Caenorhabditis elegans: one gene and its partner. The protein of the gene in region 1 purifies or fractionates together with the protein of each later gene. This does not show direct contact. Each region holds a gene or a part of one and is shown in the gene's direction. Other genes may lie near its edges. The genes, in order: rmh-1 and dbd-18.

What was found.
Region 2: the proteins of rmh-1 (region 1) and dbd-18 fractionate together in Caenorhabditis elegans (co-fractionation; one large-scale study listed by BioGRID). This does not show direct contact.

What each region holds. Positions count from the first base shown.
Region 1 is NC_003279.8:5,571,130-5,577,457, forward strand, and holds rmh-1 (RecQ-mediated genome instability protein 1 homolog), read left to right. Parts: upstream 1-2,084; 5' UTR 2,085-2,113; coding exon 2,114-2,374; intron 2,375-2,420; coding exon 2,421-2,875; intron 2,876-2,954; coding exon 2,955-3,090; intron 3,091-3,156; coding exon 3,157-3,667; intron 3,668-3,764; coding exon 3,765-4,274; intron 4,275-4,347; coding exon 4,348-4,494; intron 4,495-4,545; coding exon 4,546-4,835; intron 4,836-4,893; coding exon 4,894-5,028; intron 5,029-5,086; coding exon 5,087-5,146; intron 5,147-5,190; coding exon 5,191-5,286; intron 5,287-5,328; coding exon 5,329-5,508; 3' UTR 5,509-5,620; downstream 5,621-6,328. Other genes in the region: cey-3 (CSD domain-containing protein), read right to left, coding at 827-1,196, 1,243-1,553, 1,672-1,788; klp-15 (Kinesin motor domain-containing protein), read right to left, coding at 6,064-6,328.
Region 2 is NC_003284.9:295,079-299,894, forward strand, and holds dbd-18 (DB domain-containing protein), read left to right. Parts: upstream 1-2,155; 5' UTR 2,156-2,169; coding exon 2,170-2,254; intron 2,255-2,764; coding exon 2,765-2,913; intron 2,914-3,097; coding exon 3,098-3,250; intron 3,251-3,362; coding exon 3,363-3,491; intron 3,492-3,964; coding exon 3,965-4,099; 3' UTR 4,100-4,209; downstream 4,210-4,816.

The sequences.
Region 1 (6,328 bases):
TGAGTGAAGTGAAATAAAATTTCAACATCTAAAAATTGAGGGAAAATAGAAAGGAATCGAAACGTTCTGATAAGGCATATGTTGAAAATTACATCGAAGTATAATTCTTCAATAAAAAGACATCTGAGACGGCATTCAGAGGATTATTATGCGTGTAAGTTCCGCGTTTCAATAAAAATGTACTTTGCTGTTTTGAAACTATTATATGACTTCTTTTCTAGTTGCCCTTAACCTAAAGAATTCGTATTCCGTTAGTATTACAGAGCGGCGTAAGTGTTTGGACACCGTAAAAAATATTGTATACATCAAAAACTGCAATAATTTTCTGACCAAAATTATTACTATCGATCAAAACTCAACGGGTATAATAAGAAACCGACGCTGAAGACTACTGATAATTGATTTTATTTCTGTTTTTGAAAGTTATCGCAACGACAAATTTCACACTATCAGATGGTTGGAGAAAACTCAAATTATTTTATTGCTTATCGCGGCAAATTTATACCTTTAGCAAACATCGAATGGAAATACCTACGCTAGTTTTTCCAAAGCTAATTCTGAAATTTCCGTTTTCAAAAACCTAACTAGATGAAGCTCGAGAACCGTTTAGAAGTAAGAATCGATACCAAACAAATTAGATCGTAATGCGGGTGATGAAGAGAATTATTTACTTTGCCGACTTTCGGTTTATTATAAGAACACTTCTCTTTACAGGCTGACACAAAATAACAGATTTGGGGACATAAAAACATGCAGGAAACGGGGATCTAGAATTCTGTGCTATATAAATAAGTACAAAAGATTCAGGAACACAAAGCAATGAAATTTAGATCTGAGCATCAATCAACTGAGCACCAAGGCCAGCATCGTCGAGAGCAGAATCGCAACGATCGATCTTGGAGAGTCCAGCTTCCTCAGAGATGATCTTGGTGCAGGATTTCGAGTCCGGAGAAGCAGTTTCGGAAGAGGTCCCGAGAGATTCAGTAGTAGCAGAAGAGTCGGCAGCATCACCTGCTCCCTTCTGGTCCTTCTGTTTGCGGTTTTTATTCTTACGCTGCTTTCTTTGCTTCTTTTTCTCCATTGCTACTGCCGGAGCCTCGACAAGCTTTTCAGTTTCCTTTGAATCAAAATCCTCTCCAACAACGATTTTCGGTTTACGATTCTTACGGAAGCGAGAGAGAAGCTGATGGCGATATCTAAAGTAACTAGTTTTCCAACTTTACTTGTCAATCAATAACTCACTTCGATCCAGAAACATTCACCCCGGCTGGTCCGGTGACATTTGCAGCCTCAGGTCCATTCTTACCATCGACCAGATCGAAGAGCACTTCCTCCTCATCGGCAAGTGTCCGAAGGTAAAATTTCTCAGTGTCCGATTTGGAAATAGCTGTTTGGTGAACGAAGACATCCTTCTCTCCATCACTACGGGAAATGAACCCATAGCGACGAAGTACAGAGTACCACTTCACCTTTCCTTGAAGTCCAGCGGTAAGAACAATCTTCGCCTTCTGCTCCTCCTCCCAAATGCGTATGCGCTCGGCAGCTGGCAGACGCTAAAAATCATAAAATTGTAAATGTTGTACATTAGCACGTCATGCATCATAAAGAAAACGAACTACTTCAAAACAGTCAATGGTAGTTCCCAAAGAAGTGAGTTTTAAAAAAACTTACATGCTTGCTTGTATCATCCTTGCTTGGCGATCTTTTCTTGCCGATGGAGAGATCGTCGAGTTTCTTTTCGATGACTTGCTCATCTACTTCGACAGCAGTATTCGCAGTGTCCGACATTTTCGCCGTAGTTGCTCTTAGCACTTGAGGTACTGAAAAACAAGACTACATTGAGTGACTGAAGCTTCAAGGGTCGACGGCGTGCAGAAGAAAAGAAAAAAGTCGAAAAATGACAGATTAAGTGATAAACGCTCGCGGGCCTGTGGTCCCGTACGACCGTAACCAGCGTACCTGCACATCAAACATTTGGCGGCGCTTCAAGGTTTTAAACGCATTTCTTACATTTTTTTGTTAACAAATTTGTTTTCTTATTCAATGTTACACACATTTTCATTATTTTTTGTTGGTATTTGCAGAGCGAACGCATATAAAAACTACAAAATATATGAAAGAAACTGAACTTGATCGTCTTTTCTCTTGGCTTGCTAGGAAACATTACCCATTCAAGAGAGAATGGCTAAGAATATGCGTCCAGTATATCGAAGGATCACTCGGACAAAGAATTAAAACTGTTGATGTGAAGCAGATTGGTGAACTTGTCATACAACAGTTTTTGAATTCAAAAATATCCGAAGCTTTGGATCCCACCATGAAAATCCCAACGAGCGCAGTAAAAGTTGTCATTGTTAAAAGAATGATTTTCCAGGTTATTAGTTTGAAGATCTGCCGAAAATCAACAGGAATATTTTTAGGTTATTTCCTCCACGAATATATCAACATCCTTGTACGAGCAATTGTCAGAATGTACTCGACACAACGAAGATTTGGCTTGGTTTCATGGCGGATCCAAAGCTGATCACGAAGAAGAAAATCGCGACAAAGAAAAAGATGTGGCCTCTGATCGCATGAATCATACGCAGACGAAAAATGCAATTAAGAAACGAGGAATGCTGAAAATTGAGCTCACCGATGGTGTGAATACTTTGAAAGCAATCGAGTTAGACGAAGTATTTGATGAAAAAATTATGCTACCCGGTGCAAAGATTATTCTCACAGGAAAAGTTAAATGTCGTCGTGGAAATCTTCTACTGGATAAATCTAATTGTGCTTTTCTGGGCGGCCGAGTGGAATCACTAAGTTTTGATAAAGTGGCACAATTATCAAATGCATTGAAGGTTGACTTAGACGCGGAGAAGAAACGAAGAAAGTAAGTTATCACTTAGATACATTAGAAATCAGACATCATCTTAGCTTGATTTAATTCTTCTAGTAAATTCAATTTTCAGAGCATCTCTGGAAAACGCTGCTGCTTCTGTATCACGAAATAACAAGAAACAAATAGACAAGAAAAATCTTTCCCTTAATCAATCATCGCTTTCTCCATTTTTAGTCAAAACAAGTCGAATAACGGGAGAGGTCACTGTAAGTATTTAATCTAGTTCCACTACACTTCTTTCAATGGCTTAAAAACAGTTCTGAAAATTACAGGTTCCGGTGAAACAGTCTTTGGTGCCTACTGCGTCACGTATTCTACCATCTTCCGTAGCAGTTATTCCCAGCATTCAAATAGAGAAACCAACAGATCCTATTGAAAATTGGGATTTTTCAATCGAAGAAGTTCCGCAAGAACCAACTCCAGAACCACCAAGTCATCATGTACGGGGCCTTGTTGAACATTATCCATTGCGTTCAAAACCACAAGATCCGCTCCCACCACCTCCAACGAAGCGTTTATCTTCATTAATAATTGATAAAAATTCGATTTCAAAAGTGTCCCAAAACATTTCAAATCAGGTCGAGAAAGGTCTACTGCAAAACAAGACGATCGAAGATTGGACTTTCAATTCGACAAATTCCTTTGACAAATCTAAAAAAGTTATGTCTATTGATAACTCTAAAGATCAAAAAATGAAAATCAAGGAACTTCCTGGACAACTAATACGACCGACTCCAATCGAAAAACCTATAATCGGTGATCCTAGAATGAACAGTGAGAAACGTAAGTTAAAACAGAATAAAATATAAAAACCTTTCAGCTATAATATGATCCTCTTAACAACAACTATACCACAAAAGTTTCAGTAAAAGTTTTCCAGGCAAAGATGTTTCCGTATGGGTTTGGGAAGATCGGAAAGGATCAGAAGAGGAAGACATTGCGGCGAAAAGGATCAAAAAGATAGATTCAGTTATGGAGATTCCATTATGTTTTGTGAAGGAAACAACTCGCCAAGCGAATCGAAGTAATGAAGAGAGTCGTCATAAATTAAATACATTTGCGCAAACAATTCATGGTCCTCGTAGCAAGATTGACGATTTTCGAGTCAAATCGAACAATGTTCCCGTTTTCAAACAAATTACAGATCACTTTATAACTGTGAAAAGTAATCCTAATTCATTCACATCTTCTACGCGTCATACACCACCTCAAATGCCGAAAGTAGTCGATTTTGGGAATTTTGAAGATTATGATGAAGATTATGAAGATGAAGTTCTGCCAACATCTTCGTTCCGAGATCAATTAAAACAAAGAAAAAGTCTAGATAATCATGGAGAAGATGTAGTCTTAGAAGAAGAAATGGATCATGTAGATCACGATGAATCTATAAGTGAGTTGTTTTTTAATTTATCGGAAAATTTAACTGATAATCTCGTGATATTCAAAAAAATATTTATATTCAGTTGAATGTACAATGGATCATGAGGGACGTTTGGAATGCGAACGATGGGGATTGCGTGGAAGGGAATCGAATATTATTGAGGATGATAAACGGAATGTTTACAATGGATATAATATGAATAATAATATAGAACGTGACAATAAATACGGTAAGCTATAACTGTCTTAATCAATCATCTGACATTTTGGAAAAATTTCAGATTCTTCAATGAATGGAATGCCCCAGCCAAATCTCCAGCATCCTCTGTCAATTCTTCCTCCTCCACCAGTCATTCCTCCTTCACAGAATTGGAATTATACAGGATACTACCAAGCTCCGCCACTTAGGAATGTAATAAAAAGCGAGACGGTGGATTCTGTTGTACCGGAGGACCAGAAAATGGTTGGAGCTCAGGGAAAGAAGAGACCAAATGTAAGACAAGAAAATGATAATATGAAAAACAAACAATCGGCGAATGTTCAAGTTTATAGGACACCTTTTGCTGAAAGGGTTTGTTTTTTTTTTCAGAAAAATCAAAATTATTTTCAAAAAAAGAGGTTTATTCTAGTTGAACAGTGGCGATTCATCTTCAAAATTGTCGCCCCAATTATTCCAACGAATGGCTGATCTGCAAATCGTACCATTCGGCGATGCACTATTTAATCGAAAATTCTGGATGATGTCAAAAATTGTAGTCATTATGGTAATAGCTGATATTCTGTACGAAGTAACAAAAATTCTAACATTTTCTCACATTTCAGCCAAGTATCTGCAGTCAAATACACGAGTTACAATCTGATGGCATCGATTGGCTACTACAGGTATATTGTCCAAATAATTCATTTCTAAATACTTTATTTTCCAGATACGAGTAACAGATACATCAGTAAAAAATGTTATCTGCCGCGTTTCCACGAGCCTTCTAAATCGAATTTTTGGATTTGATGTTCAACAGTGCAAGGTTACAAAATTAATGTGCTATTCGTAAACCTTTTTTTTTCAGAATTTATTCAACAAAAATCAAGTCGAGGAGCTACGTGCGAAGAAATGCGAAGCCGAACGTAAACTTCTTGGATTCAAACGTCTTGATCTTCTTTTATGGGTTGAGGTTTCACCAGAGCGTAACCAAATTCCGCTCATTCTTGACGTGAAAACGATTTCTGATGCTCTCAATATTTTGTAATTATTTCTATTGCTTGCTACCTGAATTCACGTGTACCACAATATAGTCATGTATTATTTAATTGTTCTTGTTTTTTTGTTGTTTCCAAATACAATACAACTGTTTTAAGCTTTTTCTTTCGTTAAAATTTCTTTAAAACAGAAATGTAACAAAAAACATAAATTTAAACAAACTGTATGGAAAACTGTACAGTTTTCGATACAACGAGAGTTTGAAACTACAGTACTCTTTAAAGGGTCATGCCATTTTCGAATTCATCAAAAGTTCGTCGGGTCGAGACATACATACTACAGTAAGAAATGTAATATTCTCATAAAGCTCAAAACAATGTATTTATAACCCAATCAACAGCATTTAGACCGGACTATATTTTTCCTATCGGGATCTCCCTTTGTTTTGAAACAGACGATTAAAACTCAAAAAACGCAAAGTAAAATTGAAATTCGTTCATTTTGTTAATGATCGAAATATTTAGGTTACATCAGTATAAAAGGTTTGCATAAGGCAATAAAAATAACGTTATTTTACATGAAATGTTAGAATAGAATTATATGTCTAGTTCATAGACATCTGGGACACGTCACCCAAGAGAGTCCGTTGCTGCACGGCCGATCCGATGTTAGTACTGCGCATCTTTGAGGCGAATTCGATGCTTCTCTTGGACTCTGTCGCTTGCTCGTTGCATGGATTGAGATTGACCACAACCATAGTCTTCGAGTTGCCACGTCCCAAGCAGTCCATCAGCACTTGTGTCAGTTTGCTGTCGCGATATGAAACATGTCCCTTCTGGGATCTTTGCTGGCTGATGCACATCTGAAGG
Region 2 (4,816 bases), on another chromosome or scaffold:
TTTTTCGGGTTTTTTGAAATGAATATCGTAGCTACAGAAACGGTAGTACACTCTTCTTCTGAAAATACAAAAAATTTGCAATTTTTATAGCTAGGACACTTTTTGTCTGCCCAAATATAAGCAACCAAAAATAATTTCCAAGTTTTTAATGATTTGTTGCATATTGAAAAAAACATTTTTCGGGTTTTTTGAAATGAATATCGTAGCTACAGAAACGGATACAGAAACGAAACGAAAACCATATCAATTCCCCCAAAAATCCAAAAATTTTTTTTGCAAAAAAGTGCAGTCATATGCTTGTTGAAATTGGAATTCAAGACAAAAACCCCTGTAGCGCGGCTGGGATGGAATATCTAGGTTCCAGAAATGTACCCCTGATATTAAAAAAAATTAGCAATTTTTTACCATATCAATTCCCCAAAAAATCCAAATTTTTTTTTTGCAAAAAAGTGCAGTCATATGCCTGTTGAAATTGGAATTCAAAAATTAGGTCCTCGGTGACTGCGACAAAAATGTTTGTTTGTTTTTTCTGGGCGTGTTTTTTTTCCTTTTTTTTTTGGGATGAAAAAATTCGCAAAAAATTTTCCTCCCGTACAATCGACAATTCATTCAAACCAATTAGTTTTGAACTCTCCTGTGAATGCTACAAAAAACTATATTTATTCTTCATTTGGCTTCTCACTAGTTCTCGCGATTCTCTTTGATCGAGAAATGTAATTTGTTGCTTGGAACAGAAAAGTGGAAAAGGGTAATACATGGCCTCTTTTCCTGTGTCTTTTTCCGCCGATTTCGTGAACATTAATTTACCCGCAACCGTTTGATGCGCCGTTTGCCCTAATTTTCCGTTTCTTGACTGTTACTCAATGAACAGATTGAATTCTCTCTCTCTCTCTCTTTCTTTTTTCACTTCTTAATTATTGTTTGCTATCCAACACCTACTTTTGTTTTTGTATTTGATGTTCTTTATTCTTGTTACTTTAAATTTGAAAAAAAAACGAATTTTTAAAAAATAGGGTTTGTCAATTTGTACAAGGAAACGGAATTTTTTCGTTCAAAGTTTCAAAACAAGACGTATGCCCATCAGATTATTTTGTTTAAACGAGCTTACGCAAAACACTTTTAGCTGTAAAGCTCCTACTTCAAAAATTTTAATTTCAACTTGAAAAAAGTTCAGCACATTTTCCCCAACTACCGAAATCTGAAAAATTGCGCCAAAAGTCGTTTCTTATACATTTGAAGTTTTCAGAACGTTTTAAATTGGCAAACATTCGGGAACTGTATTGATGGTGCTTATTATCCTCAAAGTTGGACTAGTGCCAGCGGGGAAATTGTTTTAAAACATGCCTATGGTACCCCAATGACCAAATATCATAGTAAAAAAAATTTTTTTTTAATTTTTGCTAAATTTTTATATGATTTTTTGAAAGTTGAAAAAATCTCGAATTGCATCAAATTCCCACTTGAATTGCCGCCAATAGTTCGATGTTCAATGGAGTGCGCTTGCCATATTTTTATCAATTTTTCTCATTTATGTCTGAATTTTAATTTTTTTTTTCGTGTAATTTTAGTGAAAATTTAGTGAAAAATTCAAGATAAATGTAAATTCTTTATCAAAAAGAGGACAGTGAAGCGTAAACCTGTGCAATTGATTGTTTCAGGCTCGACGTCGTTGGAATACGTTCTTTCTTTGTTTTTCAATTGTTTTCAATGCACAATATACATTTGTGTTGAATTTTTCACTAAATTTCTACTTAGATTACACGAAAAACATCAAAAATCTGTCAAAAATGAGAAAAATTTATTTAAAAAAATGTATATTTCAAGCACACTCCATCGAACATTGAACTATTGGCGGTAATTCAAATGGGAATTTGATGTAATTCGGGTTTTTTTCAACTTTCAAAAAATCATATAAAATTTAGACTAATTTTTTAAATTTTTTTTACTATGATATTTGGTCATTGTGTTACCATAGGCATGCCTTAAAGTAATTTTCCCACTGGCGCTACTCCACCTTTAAGCCCAGATTCTCTGAAAAATTAGAACATTTTTTGACTAAATCATTTTGAATGGTCAAAAGATGTAAATTTCAAACATTTTTTATAACCTATTTTCAAGATTATTTTTCAATTGACACAACTTGTAAATCTTGCAGCTCTTGGTATCAGAATGCGTCTTCTATCGTCTTCATTGCTTGTCTTGTTTCTTACTCAGTTTGTATCGTCCGAAAAAAAATGTCCGGCTGTGAAAAAAGGTAACCTGAACGAAGTAAACGTTTAGGTATAAAATTGATTGCGCAAAAATCTCTTAAAATCAATTGTTGTAAAAACAAAATCATGAAAATTGACTAGTGAGTTTTTATCGCTTTTTGACTTGAAATAAAACATTTTCAAAAATCGTTTGAAACGTTTTATTAGTCATTTTAGCAACATTGAAATAGGTTTTGAAAATGTACCAAATGTCGTGCTTAACCTTTACAATAACTCAAAATTAAGGCCCGTTCACTCAAGTTCCCATAATATATCTGGAATGGAAAAAAATACAACATTTCTTAGTGAGTCTACAACAGGGCTAGCAAATTGGACGAATTGGGTATAAAACGCGTCCCGTTGTCCGGTTTTAACCCGATTCGCCATATTCTACACATATATATATATATATATATATATATATATATATATATATATATATATATATATATATATATATATATATCAGCTTTGCTCTATGTTAATACATGCGTACAAAAAACATTGGTTTTCAGGGGCTTGCTGCACAGCACCTATCACCCCAGGATGTCGACTTCCCCGACAATGTTATAAATACATAATGTCAAACTGTCCAGACAGAAAAATTGCAGTTTTTTCCAGAAAAGTTGGAAATGATCGCCGCTCTGCTCCGAGAAAACCGTTGGTCAGTTTTATTTTGTACTGATATAATTGTTTGAGCCCAAGCTAATTATCTTAAGCTCGAGCATTTGGGCTCGAGCTCTAGCATCTCGGCAGCAGCATTTGGGCTCCTAATATTTCAGCTCTGAGGTTAAAAAAATACATGATTTCCATTAGTACTGTTCCAAAACAATTGTTTGATAATTAAGGGCAAATGTGGAACATCGGAGGTAAACTATCAACCATGCACTTCCAAGGGAATTGCGAACAAACTCTTTTTGTCGTGCTGTCAATTGTATGTTCCAGAAGAATGCCATCACATGTGTGTGTACGAAACTGATCAGTCGGTTACTAGAAATATGGTAAGTGTCCAAAGTAAATTCAAAATAGTAAGTTGCCTAACGTTATAAATGACAATAAAACAATTGTGTTGTGAGTACCTCTTTTATATTTCCAAAAACAAACTTTTTGCAGCTGACCAACATGCGGAAAGATAGCCAGTGCCGAATTAAACACCTGTCGTCAATTTTGTACTGTGCCAGCCAGAACAGAGATAATAGGAAATGCTGCTTGGATTTAGATCTCAATGCCCCTCAACTTCAGGTATATAAATAACTTGGAAGATTTTTTTGGAAAGAGTTTTCTATGGTGTGTAATTAATTGGTTATATCTCAAAAACCGGTAAAATATACATGTAAGGTTGTATATGCGCTTCTCAAAACACTGTTTTGCCTCACTGGTTCAGGTTATTAAGAAAACTGCTCCTATGAAAACTTCTCAGTCTCAAGTTACAGATGTTCCAAAAAGAATTGACAAAAATGAGCTCGCAAGGTGTCGGGCGTTGTATCTCTTGACTTTAATGTTTTGAAACGTTGAAACATGTGTGTTAAGATGTAGATCACATATTGGGCAACAGTTAATCAGTTCAACTTTTCTTTCAAAATTTCCTAACTTGAGGTATACTCATTTGAAAACTATGGCAAATTAGCGCGGCGCGGAACCCAGATAGTGTTGGCTGCGTGGGGCGCCGTATCATGGAAACCCGTTTATGTCAACTAATGATAATAAAAACTTAGGTTGGATCTCGTTGCTTGCGAATGTGTGATCCATCGGGTACTTCAATCGATAGAATAACCAAGGAAGATGTGACTTGCCTGTATAATTGGAATGTTATTATGTACTGTCATCATGCCGGAATACGCGAAATGTAACTCAACCACTTCATTTATTTATCTTTTTTAAGTTCACCCTTCAGCATACCAAAGGTTACATTTTTGCAGCAGTGCACTTATAATGTTGATAATAATAAAATATTAATTGGAATATGATGTTTGTTATCTTATCAGGCAATAGTCGACATTGATAAAAATTGGAAGATTGCTTTCAAATTGATTTTTTTTTCCAATTATTTTACTTTTTGAAACATTTCATTTTACAATTCTATTGTTCCTTGAGAAAAAAACGTCATAAGTTTTGATTTTTTGCAATGCGTTCAGTTATTTTCTGAACGAAACGTATTTCATTTGAAAGGACTTCTTCTCAATAGTCCACTACAAATAATTTTTATGCATATTCAGGTCAAATGTTTATTTTATGAAGTTTCATAGACATGGAGACATTTTTATATCTTTCAAGACAGCCTTTCAAAAAATTAGTGAAATTGTTTAATCAAGTCCATTAAAAATGTTAAATAAGTAAAATGTTTGTCGAATTTTTTGAATGTTTTTTTTGAGTTACTGGAGAATGAATCAAATGATTTAAAGTGGTCGTTTTTTACAGTAAAAAAGTATTATATTTTGAATGACTAATGTATTTATTTGATAATATAATTTCTTTCAGTAAGATACTTTATGTGTCCTATGCCTTTCCACTTCTAAAGCCAGAAGTGAACTGATTGGAAATTTTTTTTTAAGTTTCAATTTTGTACC